3 linked regions of the Macaca fascicularis genome follow. The protein of the gene in region 3 interacts with the protein of the main gene of each other region in a pairwise test. Links are inferred from orthologs where the notes say so. Each region holds a gene or a part of one and is shown on either strand. Other genes may lie near its edges.

What was found.
Region 1: the proteins of ZNF24 (region 3) and YJU2B interact in binary tests that used the Homo sapiens proteins (3 or more experiments, as listed by UniProt). The two-hybrid records come from large-scale screens. The link is inferred for Macaca fascicularis from reciprocal best matches to the Homo sapiens genes ZNF24 and YJU2B.
Region 2: the proteins of ZNF24 (region 3) and MID2 interact in binary tests that used the Homo sapiens proteins (3 or more experiments, as listed by UniProt). The two-hybrid records come from large-scale screens. The link is inferred for Macaca fascicularis from reciprocal best matches to the Homo sapiens genes ZNF24 and MID2.

The regions. Positions count from the first base shown.
Region 1 is NC_088393.1:14,163,019-14,166,768, forward strand, and holds the start of YJU2B (probable splicing factor YJU2B), read left to right. Parts: upstream 1-1,075; 5' UTR 1,076-1,125; intron 1,126-3,750. UniProt on the Homo sapiens protein: May be involved in mRNA splicing.
Region 2 is NC_088395.1:114,409,166-114,412,815, reverse strand, and holds part of MID2 (probable E3 ubiquitin-protein ligase MID2), read right to left. Parts: intron 1,965-3,650; coding exon 1,249-1,964; intron 1-1,248. UniProt on the Homo sapiens protein: E3 ubiquitin ligase that plays a role in microtubule stabilization. Mediates the 'Lys-48'-linked polyubiquitination of LRRK2 to drive its localization to microtubules and its proteasomal degradation in neurons.
Region 3 is NC_088392.1:54,501,158-54,504,907, reverse strand, and holds the start of ZNF24 (zinc finger protein 24), read right to left. Parts: upstream 2,664-3,750; 5' UTR 2,567-2,663; exon of another isoform or gene 1,962-2,566; intron 675-1,961; exon of another isoform or gene 1-674. UniProt on the Homo sapiens protein: Transcription factor required for myelination of differentiated oligodendrocytes. Required for the conversion of oligodendrocytes from the premyelinating to the myelinating state.

The sequences.
Region 1 (3,750 bases), on a different chromosome or scaffold from region 3:
CAATCTCCGCTCCTTGCAACCTCTGCCTCCCGGGTTCAAGCGATTCTCTTGCCTCAGCCTCCCGAGTAGCTGGGATTACAGGCGCCTGCCACCACAGCCGGTAATTTTCGTCTTTTTTTTAGTAGAGACAGGGTTTCACCGTTTTGGCCAGGCTGGTCTTCAACTCCTGACCTCAAGTGATCTGCCTGCCTCGGCCTCTCAGTGCTGGGATCAGAGGCGTGAGCCACCATGCTTGGCCGCAAATAATTTTAGAAATCGGCCGGGCGCCGTGGCTCAAGCCTGTAATCCCAGCACTTGGGGAGGCCGAGACGGGTGGATCACGAGGTCAGGAGATCGAGACCATCCTGGCTAACCCGGTGAAACCCCGTCTCTACTAAAAAAAATACAAAAAACTAGCCGGGCGAGGTGGCGGGCGCCTGTAATCCCAGCTACTCGGGAGGCTGAGGCAGGAGAATGGTGTAAACCCGGGAGGCGGAGCTTGCAGTGAGCTGAGATCCGGCCACTGCACTCCAGCCTGGGCGACAGAGCGAGACTCCGTCTCAAAAACAAAAAACAAAAAAACAAAAAAAAAAAAATCAGCGGGGCGCGGTGGCTTGCGCCTGTAGTCCCAGATACTTGGGAGACTGAGGTGGGAGGATCGCTTGAACCCAGGAGTTCGAGGCTGCAGTGAGCTATGATTGCGCCACCGCATTCCAGCCTGGGCGACAGAGAGAGACTCGGTCTCAAAAATAAAAAATAAACTGGAAAAGTAATTCTTAGCTCACTAGCCGTTCAAAAACACGGGCATAGTGTGCTTCGACCCGCGTACTGCAGTTTGCTCACCCTCGCAGACTGGCTGCAGCGCGCAGGACAGCACTCCTCGGAGGGCGGTGCCAGGAGCCGGGCCTCGGATTGGGCTTCTGGACAGAGGATGGAGCATCGCGGTTGGGCGGGGCATGCCCGGATTGGCCCACTTCGGCGTCGCAGAGCGCGCGGCGAATCGGCATTCAGCCAGTCAGTGCGGCGCTGTTGCCTCGCCCCGCCTCACGCCAGCGTCCGGGTGGTGCGGAGAGGGCGCCCAGCTTCACTGCGCTCTAAGCGCGCACTTCCGGGCACGGTCGTGGCGTGACGTCGGGAGGAGGGCAGGTAAGTCCCCGCGGGCGGAGGAGCGGGGAGGGCCGGGGGTCCGGCAGCCGTCTCACCCGGGCCTCGGAGCCGCCCGACGCGCCCATCTGCGTCGGGGGACGCGGGGCTGAGGACCCGATCTGGATGCCTGGAGCCGGCCCAACTCCCACCCAGGACCAAAGTCCCTGAGACCCCTGACCCAAGTGCCTGGGACCCGGCCCCTTCCTAGCCCGGATCCATATTATGCCTGAAGGGCCCTGGGTTTTTGCATCGGGAAAATGGGACCAATAAGTCCCTACCTCACCAGATTTTATAAAAATGATTCTTGTAAAACCGTGAGCAGGAGAAATGACTAAACTGCCAGCACTGAACTCGGGAGTCAGGCGCTGCCCTAAATGCTTTAACCATTTTACACGTAAGGAAAATGAGGCTTAGAAAACAATTTGCCTCAAATCAAGCAAATAGGAAGCAGCAGGATGGAGCTCCCAGCCCAAACTTTACGCCCAGGACAAACAGGGTCGGTAATTACTTTTGCAGCAAGGACCGGAGATATCTACACGCCCACCCGATAGCCCCGTCTGCCATTTACCGGGTCAACAAAACCATCGTAAGACACACACACACACACACCCTCAAGCTCCTGTAAACGGAGTATCTGCTCTTTGCAGGCTCTTCCCGTGTGTTAGTTGATTCACAGCATCCCCAGAAAGTCAGTCTTTTCGTCATCATTCGCCCTTTACCGGTGACGAAATACAAGCCCAGGGAACCGCAGACACTGACCAAGGTCACCCAGCTGATGAGGAGTGGAGCTGGGATTCAAGCCCAGGGAACCGTGACCCCTAACACCTCAAGGGGCACTTAGCTATTTGGTTGGCAAAAGTATTTTTAGGTTGGAACGGACCTTGGAATAATCCAATCTAAGGGGCACACTTTATAGTTGCAGCATCCAAGACTAAGGTGAAGGTGGAACAGTTTATGTCCGGGACTTTGCACCATGGCCTCACCACCTCACTACACCACCCCCACTCCATCAGAAGCTCTTCCATCAGCTTCTTTCTTTTTTTTTTTTTTTGAGACAGAATCTCACTCTTGTCACCTTGGCTGGAGTGCAGTGGCACCATCTTGGTTCACTGCAACCTCTGGCTCCCGAGTTCAAGCTATTCTCCTGCCTTAGCCTCTCCAGTAGCTGGGATTACAGATTACAGGCGTGCACCACCAGGCCTGGCCAATTTTTGTATTTTTGGTAGAGATGGGGTTTCACCATGTTGGCCAGGCTAGCCTCGAACTCCTGACCTCAAGTGATCCACCTGCCTCAGCCTCCCAAAGTGCTGGGATTACAGGTGTGAGCCACCGCATCTGGCCCCCAAGAATGGTTTTAAAGTTTTTAGTGGTTGGGGAAAAATCAGAATAATAATGCTTTGTGATAGATGACGATTATGTGAAATTCAAATTTCTGTGTCCATCAATAAAATTTATATTGGCATGCAGCTACGCCCGTTCATTTATATATTGTTTGGTGCTGATTTCTAGCTATGAAGGCAGAACTGAGTTGTTGGGGCAAAGATAATCTGGCCTAAAAAGCCAGAAATATTTACTCTCTGGCCCTCGACAGAGAAACTTTGCCAATCTCTGTTCTAGAATAAGCTTCACTGCCTCGCAGAGTCTCTCTTTAGTGTAAACTAGAACTTCCTTCTTTTTTTTTTTTTTTTTTTTTTTTGAGACGAGTCTCGCTCTGTCGCCCAGGCTGGAGTGCGGTGGCGCAATCTCTGCTCACTGCAAGCTCCGCCTCCCAGGTTCACGCCATTCTCCTGCCTGCCTCAGCCTCCCGAGTAGCTGAGACTACAGGTGCCCACCACCACGCCCAGCTAATTTTTTGTATTTTTTAGTAGATACTGGGTTTCACCGTGTTAGCCAGGATTGTCTCGATCTCCTGACCTCATGATCCGCTTGCCTTGGCCTCCCAAAGTGCTGGGATTACAGGCGTGAAGAAATTCCTTCTATATGACCTAAAAGCTTCCCTTCCAAACATGGGAGGGGGTCTCACCACCTCTAGTTCGAGGAGCCCCTGTATTTCCACTTGTGTCACCTGCACTGATGGTGACCCTTATGGAGCCTCATTCAGTTATCTCAGTCTTTTACCCAGTTGACATTTATCTCGGCCTGGCACTGTCCTAGGTGTTGGGGATATGGCACAGTGTGACCTGCCCGGGGAGACACAGGGTGATGTGATCAGAATTCCAGGAACAAGTGACTATGGATTCGGTGGTCGGATGAGGTCATTTTTTGTTTTTTGTTTTGTTTTGAGACACAGTCTCACTTTGTAGCTGGGGTGCAGTGGCGCCATCTTGGATCACTGCAACCTCCGCCTCCCGGTTCAAGCCATTCTCCTGCCTCAGCTTCCCAAGTAGCTGGGATTACAGGCATCTGCTACCATGCCTGGCTAAATTTTGTATTTTTAGTAGAGATGCGGTTTCACTATGTTGGCCAGGCTGGTCTTGAACTCCTGACCTCAGAGGATCCACCTGCCTCAGTCTCCCAAACCGCTGGGATTACAGGTGTGAGGCACCACACTTGGCCGGATGAGGTCTTTGATGGATATGATATGTAGGTCAAGACCTGTGACAAGGGGCTGGGTGCAATGGCTTG
Region 2 (3,650 bases), on a different chromosome or scaffold from region 3:
TTCGCAGCACATTACAGGTCAAATATATCCTATTCTGAGTACTGCTACTCTCACCAACATTATACTTTTTACAGAAGTTACAGTAATTCATCCACAGTATGGCAGGAGGAAAATTTCCATTTCCTTCTTACCCTCCTTTTATCCTATCTGGATCTTTCTTCTAGCTTGGCTTATGTACTCAGGTTCTATTTGGAGTGGTAATTTTACTATCCGTTTAAACATTTTATTTTTCTAGAATATCTTCTAAGTAGCTCCCTTCTTAAGAGAAATTATACCACATAGCAGACAAGCAATGGTAGTAAAACAATTTGCTGGATCATCAGTGTAAGGTAGGAGGGCTTTTTTAAATGGGCACTTAGACTTGTACATAAATATTATATGACACAACAACTTCAGAAAACCCTGTCCACTGAACACACATAAATGACTAGGAACTTGTAAGGCAGGAACTATAAACAAGTGCTTCAGTTTGTAGCCCATAATAGTGACCACTGTCACAAAATTTGATAGTGGATTAAATATTTATTGCCTTCAGTTTAAATTGTTAGTTCAGACATTTAATTATCCCTCCCGATTTCGTGGTGTACTGAAATTTCTTCAGTTCTTTGTTTTGTTTTGTTTTGTTTTTAAAGACAGGCTTAGAATTAGCCCTGTGTTAAACACTTAATGGCAATTTGTAATGGCCAATGCCAAACTTCTGTTTCTTTAGTGCATTGAGTACACAAACACAAACATACGCTAATGTCCTCCACAAAAATCTCTCACCTACCTAGATACACTCAGACACCTCCACCCACCCACACCTACATAGAGACACACCCTGCCTTCCCATTACCATATACCCACATATGCAAATTGGCACGTATGCTAATTGTAGTACACCTACACAAGTACTCACATACTTAAAAGAAGAGGTGGAAAGATCACAGCAAAGATATATAATAAGCAATAATGTCACTGACAGAGGAGAGAGGGTGCTGTTTCCCTGGATGAACTACTGGTGTTGCAGGCCATGAGCTGACTCCCCAAAAGTTAGCCAGAAGTGTATGAATGCAAGCATGTTTATGCAACAGATGAGATAGGCTCCAGGGAGAGCTTGCAGGTGAGCAGGTTACTCCTCATGAAAACAACTTAAAGTTAATTCACTAGTCATATAGGAAAAGTCACCCATTTTATTAGAGAACTTGCTAACTGCATAACTCTATTATGAGACAAAGTTGTGTAAGAGATGTTCCCCAGATCCCTTACCTTAAGTTTCTCAAATCGATCATTCAGGGATGCGACCTGATGGTCTCGGTGACGACCCACCAGTTTGCATAAGGCACAGATCAATTGGTCATCAGATACACAGTACATGTTCACTTTCTCATTCTCGTGGTCCAGGCAGGTGATCCCTCGAAGATGTGTGTCTGGCACTGGTTCCACCAGGCGATGGCTGGTGAAAGGTTTCTTGTTCGGGTGCGTGGCCCGCAGGCAACGGTCACAGTAGGAGACCTCACAGGTGATGCATGTTTTTACTGCATCCCTTGGCGGGTCCTGCTCACAGAATTGGCAAGCAATTCGCTCACTAGACATGGCGGTGCTGGGCCTGTAAGTCCTTTCCCGGCGGCTCTCACTAGGGGAATTGGGCCCACTGACTGAAGCCTTCTGGAAGCGATCAATAATGTTCTGCAGAGTCACATTCCTCTTGAGGCCATCCAGGCCCCGGTGGTTCAGCGAGATAACATACCTGCAGGTAGGACACTGGAAAGCAGTAATGGGTTCAATGGATTCACCAGAGCTGCAGCTTGAGACCAAAATGCGATGGGCACAGCTGAAGCAGAGGCTATGAGCACAAGGGAGCAGAAGTGGGTCTTCAAACAACTCTAGGCAGATTGGACAGGTCAATTCAGACTCCAGTGTTTCCATCTTTAGTGAAAATAATCCTCCTGAGGCATTAAGAACCACGGAGGCTGGGCTTTCACCTGCAAGGAATACAAAGCAAGAGTCATTAAGCATTTCCAAAGGAAAATGGATATAACATAATTATACACTAACCAATGGGCGTGTTTACGTGCTGGATTCCCCAGGGATGCTTAAGCAATAGAAAAGCAATTTGGGAATTAATCAGGAAGACTTTCCCCCCCTTCAAACCTTGTTTTAGACAAATGCCTATGTTTATTTTCATGCACAAAGAGATAAAACCAAATGGCTACCTCTGAATCCTGATAGACAGATTAACATTACCATTCCAGCTTACAATATTTGAATGGATCATTCTCTCACATATTCTCCACTGACATTTCTTTTCCCAGACTAAGATGAGGCTGAGACCCTGCAAAATTCCCAATCTCTATTCTCCAGTATTGTTCTCTATTTCACTTTAAGGTAAACTGTAGGGCTGCTTCTATGTGACATCCAGTGTAAGGAAAACAATGCCATATTTTAAAGTAACTCTGTACTTCCTGAAATGATTCCATTCTGAGAGTCTGCATAAAAAAGAGAAAGCTTTAGAAAAATGTAGCTCTTGGTGCAGGATAATAAATTTTTCCTCAGAGTGTGAACTTAAATTACTTCTTATTATCACACATGGAAATTTCTGTTCCATCCCATTCCTAGTAAACTGAGTTAGTTGAGACAAAAGATGATAGTTTTCACTTTCATCTTCTTCCCTCACCTTCAGAAACCCCTTCATTTCATCAAACTGAATGGGGAATGATTTCAAACTTTTCAACTTACTCAGTAATCATTGCTGATCAATAATAAAGTCATATTGCCTTGTGGCTTCAATTTGGTTTTATTACTAAACACCTGCTGAACTAGCACAAGCCTGCTATGAAGATCACCTCCCATTTGTCTTTTCATACTTTCTAAAACATAACGGGATGCAAATCAATATCTAGATAGAAATTAGCAAAGTGCCAGAAATTTTCAGATCTGGTAACCTTCAATTAAGTGAGCATCACTGAGTAAAAGAGGTCACCTGGCCGGGAACGGTGGCTCACGCCTGTAATCCCAGCACTTTGAGAGCCTAAGGTGGGTGGATTCTGAGGTCAGGAGGTCCAGACCATCTTGGCCAATATGGTGAAACCCCGTCTCTACTAAAATTACAAAAATTAGCTGGGCATGGTGGCGCTTGTCTGTAGTCCCAGCTACTCGGGAGGCTGAGGCAGAAGAATCGCTTGAACCCGGGAGGCGGAGGTTACAGTGAGCTGAGATCATGCCACTGCACTCTAGCCTGGGTGACAGAGCAAGACTGCATCAGAAAAAAAAAAAAAAAAAAAAAAAAAAAAAAAAAAAAGCCACCCAACTGACAAGAAACCAACCTCTTGGTAAATCTATCTATTTTTCCACAGGAATTTCTGTGCTCAACACACAGGTACCTAATTCTTAATTGCCTTGAGTCTTCCATTAATTAAAATACACACATAAATATTCTAAGTTGGCTTTAACTAAGGAAAAATATAAAACATATCTTATTGACTGAAAATGTTAATCCTATGTATAGGAAAGAAAAAGGGCTTTGTTGTTGTTGTTGTTGTTTTTAGACAAAATGTCCCTCTGTCATTCAGAGTGGAGTGCAGTGGTACAATCTTGGCTACCTGCAACGTCTGCCTCCTGGGCTCAAGCGATCCTCCTTTCCTGGAACTCCAGGTGTATGCCACCAAGTC
Region 3 (3,750 bases):
ATTGTACTTACTCATACTTCACGCTACAATAGCAGAGTTGAGTAGTTTCAACAGACTAGATGGCCTAAAAAAAACCCAACACAGTCATGCACTACAAAATGATGTTTGGAGGCCGGGCGCGGTGGCTCAAGCCTGTAATCCCAGCACTTTGAGAGGCCGAGACGGGCGGATCACAAGGTCAGGAGATCGAGGCCATCCTGGCTAACACGGTGAAACTCCGTCTTTACTAAAAAATACAAAAAACTAGCCGGGCGAGGTGGCGGGCCCCTGTAGTCCCAGCTACTTGGGAGGCTGAGGCAGGAGAATGGCGGGAACCCGGGAGGCGGAGCTTGCAGTGAGCTGAGATCCGGCCACAGCACTCCAGCCTGGGCGACAGAGTGAGACTCAGTCTCAAAAAAAAAAAAAAACAAACAAAAAAATGATGTTTGGGTCAATGAAGGACCGGTCAATGAAGGACCACATAGATGACAGTGCTCTCATAAGATTATAATGGAGCTGAACAATTCAAGATTCACCTAGTGACACTGTAGCTGTTGTAAGGTTAATGCATTATTCACATGTTTGTGGTGATGGTGGTGTAAACAAACCTGTTGTGTTGCCAGTTTAACACATACAGTTATGTATGGTACATAAAACTTGATAACAACAATAAACGACTATGTTACTTGTTTATGTATTTACTATACTTTTCATACTATACATTTTAGAGTGTGCTCCTTCTACTTATTAAAAAAAAAGTTAACTGCAAAATGGCCTCAGGCAGGTCCTTCAGGAGCTATTATAGAAGGCACTGTTATCACAGAGATGACAGCTCCATGCACGTTACTGCTACTGAAAACCTTCCAGTGGGACAAGATAGGGAGGCAGAAGGCAATGATATTGATAATCCAGACCCTGTGTAAGCCTAAGCTAATGCATGTGTTTGTCTTAGTTTTTAACAAAAAAAGTTCCAAAAGGAAAAAAAAATAAAAACTGGCTAGGTGCAGTGGTTCACATCTGTAATCCCAGCACTATAGGAGGCTGAGGCAGGAGGATCACTAAAGACCAGGAGTTCAAGGCTCCACTGAGCTATGATCGCACCACTGCATTCCAGCCTGGGCAACAGAGTGAGACCCTGTCTCTAAAAAATGAATTTAAAAATAGCAAAAAGCTGGGCCTGGCGCAGTGGCTCACACCTGTAATCCCAGCACTTTGGGAGGCTGAGGCGGACGGATCACGAGGTCAAGAGATCGAGACTATCCTGGCCAACATAGTGAAACCCTGTTTCAACCAAAACGAAGGTTTGCTTTATTATTATGTGCTTAAAAAAATTTTACCACTTAAAAAATAAGGTATTTAAGAACTCCTTGGACTTAAAATATATGTGGAAAAAATGTTCACTTGCTGAGTAACAGATCACATAATATTGAAAAGATCATATGTGAAAAACAGATCACATATTTTGAAAAATTATCTTGCACATAATACGTAAATATTCAGTCTTCCACCACACCATACGTACATTTATATTTATAATGATAGGCATTAATCACAGAAAATTCTATTAAGAAAAGGCACTCGCATTAGCACCTTAACTTCTTGCAGTGGTCCAGTGTCTTGTCCTTACACTGGATGACTCACAGTTTCCCCAGTTCTACCTTCAGGGAAACTGTATGCTGTTTCTGGACCTTTATTATTTGCACTATCATGCCCGTGCTGTTGTTTACGACACATACTAGCAATGAGCCATGCAGCCTATGAACAACAACTTAAAAAAACTTATCGTAACCCAAGCAAGATGAAGACTGGAATCAGAAAAGGCCTTATCAGACAAGTAATACATACTGGTTTAATTAAATACCCTGGAGTGTGGTGGCCTTATAAATAAGGTCTAGCCAACATTGATTTGTGCCTATTCCAAGACCCTGCTTATCAACGGTGCAACTATTTCTACATATATTTCTCTTCCTTTCATGCTGTAGAGCATACTGCTTGTGGGAAATGGAGGGAAGGCCAACGGTCCCGACAATGTTTGGTCAGAGCACCTCGTTCCAGGTGATCGCCCACCTTACTGCTGCATAGACCTGCTGTGTACCCCGATCCCGGCCAGTCCTCTAGCCCCTCTTCCCAGCACTCAGGACAGCGGATTTCACATGACCAAAGACCACCCTGTGACAACAGCGTCGGAACCACGGCACTTCCGCCTGCGGCCGGTGGGACTACAAATCCCAACAGCCCCGCGCAAGTCTCGCCCCATACCACCTCCTCCCAACACGACTCCCAGAACCCTCCGCGAGACGCCAGGGCCTCGAAATAGAACAAAACCGGCCGGTGGGGGAGGGGGAAGGTGAGGGTCTCGGAGGACACCGGGGGTTAGAGAGCACTCTGCAGACGCCGAAGACCCAAGCAAGCCTGCCGCCTACCTCTCCCCGCCCCACAACTGCTAGGCGCGGAGAGCGCGGCCTATTCCCCGCGCCTCCCGGGAAGCTGAGGAAGGTCCCGGGAAGGCTTCCCCGCCGACTCCTGCTAAGAGGTCCGCAGACCCTAGCCCGGTGTCCCCCTCCCTCCCATAACGTTCCCCGCACACCGGCGCAAACCTCTGGCTCAGGAACCGCAGCAGCTTCGCTGTCCACGGCAGACGCAGAAACACCGTTCACAAGCCTTTTCCCAGAAGCCCCCGGCACGGGCTGCTTCCGGTCTGCGGGCCTGAGGAGGCGGGGAGAGGTAAAGCCCACGTTGCCATGGAGAAGCTCCCCGGGCGGGGGAGGGGCGGCCCCACGACAATGACCGCATTGAGGCTGCGCTTGGCCTCGCGCCTCGAACAGCCTAGCGTCCTCTGGACCGTTTAAAAGAAAAGTAGAGGACTCTACCATTAAGATAGTCCTTACAGTTTCGCAAGCCCTTTCACGTGCATTATCTTGTGGATCCTCTAAGTAATTCCCTGCAAGAAGGAATAAAAGCGAGTATTTGTGAAAGCTTACTACATTGTGCCAGGCGCTCTCGTCGTGCTTTACATGTCATTTATTTTTTCACAAATAAATGATGTAGGAACTTTCATTATCCCCATTTCACAGCTGAGATAGTTGAGGCACAAATACAGTAAGTAACTTGACAAGAGCTCACAACTCATTTGTGGGTAGCAAGATTTGAAACCAAGACGTGATTCAAATCTTTGGCTCCCACTAGTTATGTCACGGAGCTTTATTCTGACCTATTTGTCAGGAAAACTAGATGAGACAGGTTAAGGGTTTTGGCAACGATGTCACGGTGAATTTGTAGAATGCATGGTCATCTTCAAGCTGGGCATTTTATACCATAAAACAGCTGCTGACGCAATCATTTATTACAAATCAGACCACTTCACTCCCCTATTTAAAGCCCTCCAATTTATGCCATAATAATTTATGACATAAAAACTCCTTATAATGTCTTGTAAGTCCCCCATGGTCTGTTGCCTGCCCGCACCCCCAGACCCTGGCGCCCCCAGTCACCTCAGCTCTTCAGCTCCGTGTGGCCCAAGATCCTCAGCCTCACCGCCAGCCTTTCATGACACATGACCCTTCATGGCACTATTATTAATGGAAGTGATCTCATTTATTTACTTGTTTTTTGTTTTGTTTTGCCTTTAAGTCCCTTAAGGGCAGGGACCTTGACTGTCTTGTTCACCACAGCATCCCAGCCTAGACCCCGGAAGCTGACTGCCTGGTAAATAGAGAACACAATAAATGTTTGTTGAATAAATAAATGAATTGTGGGATGGTTACATCGCTG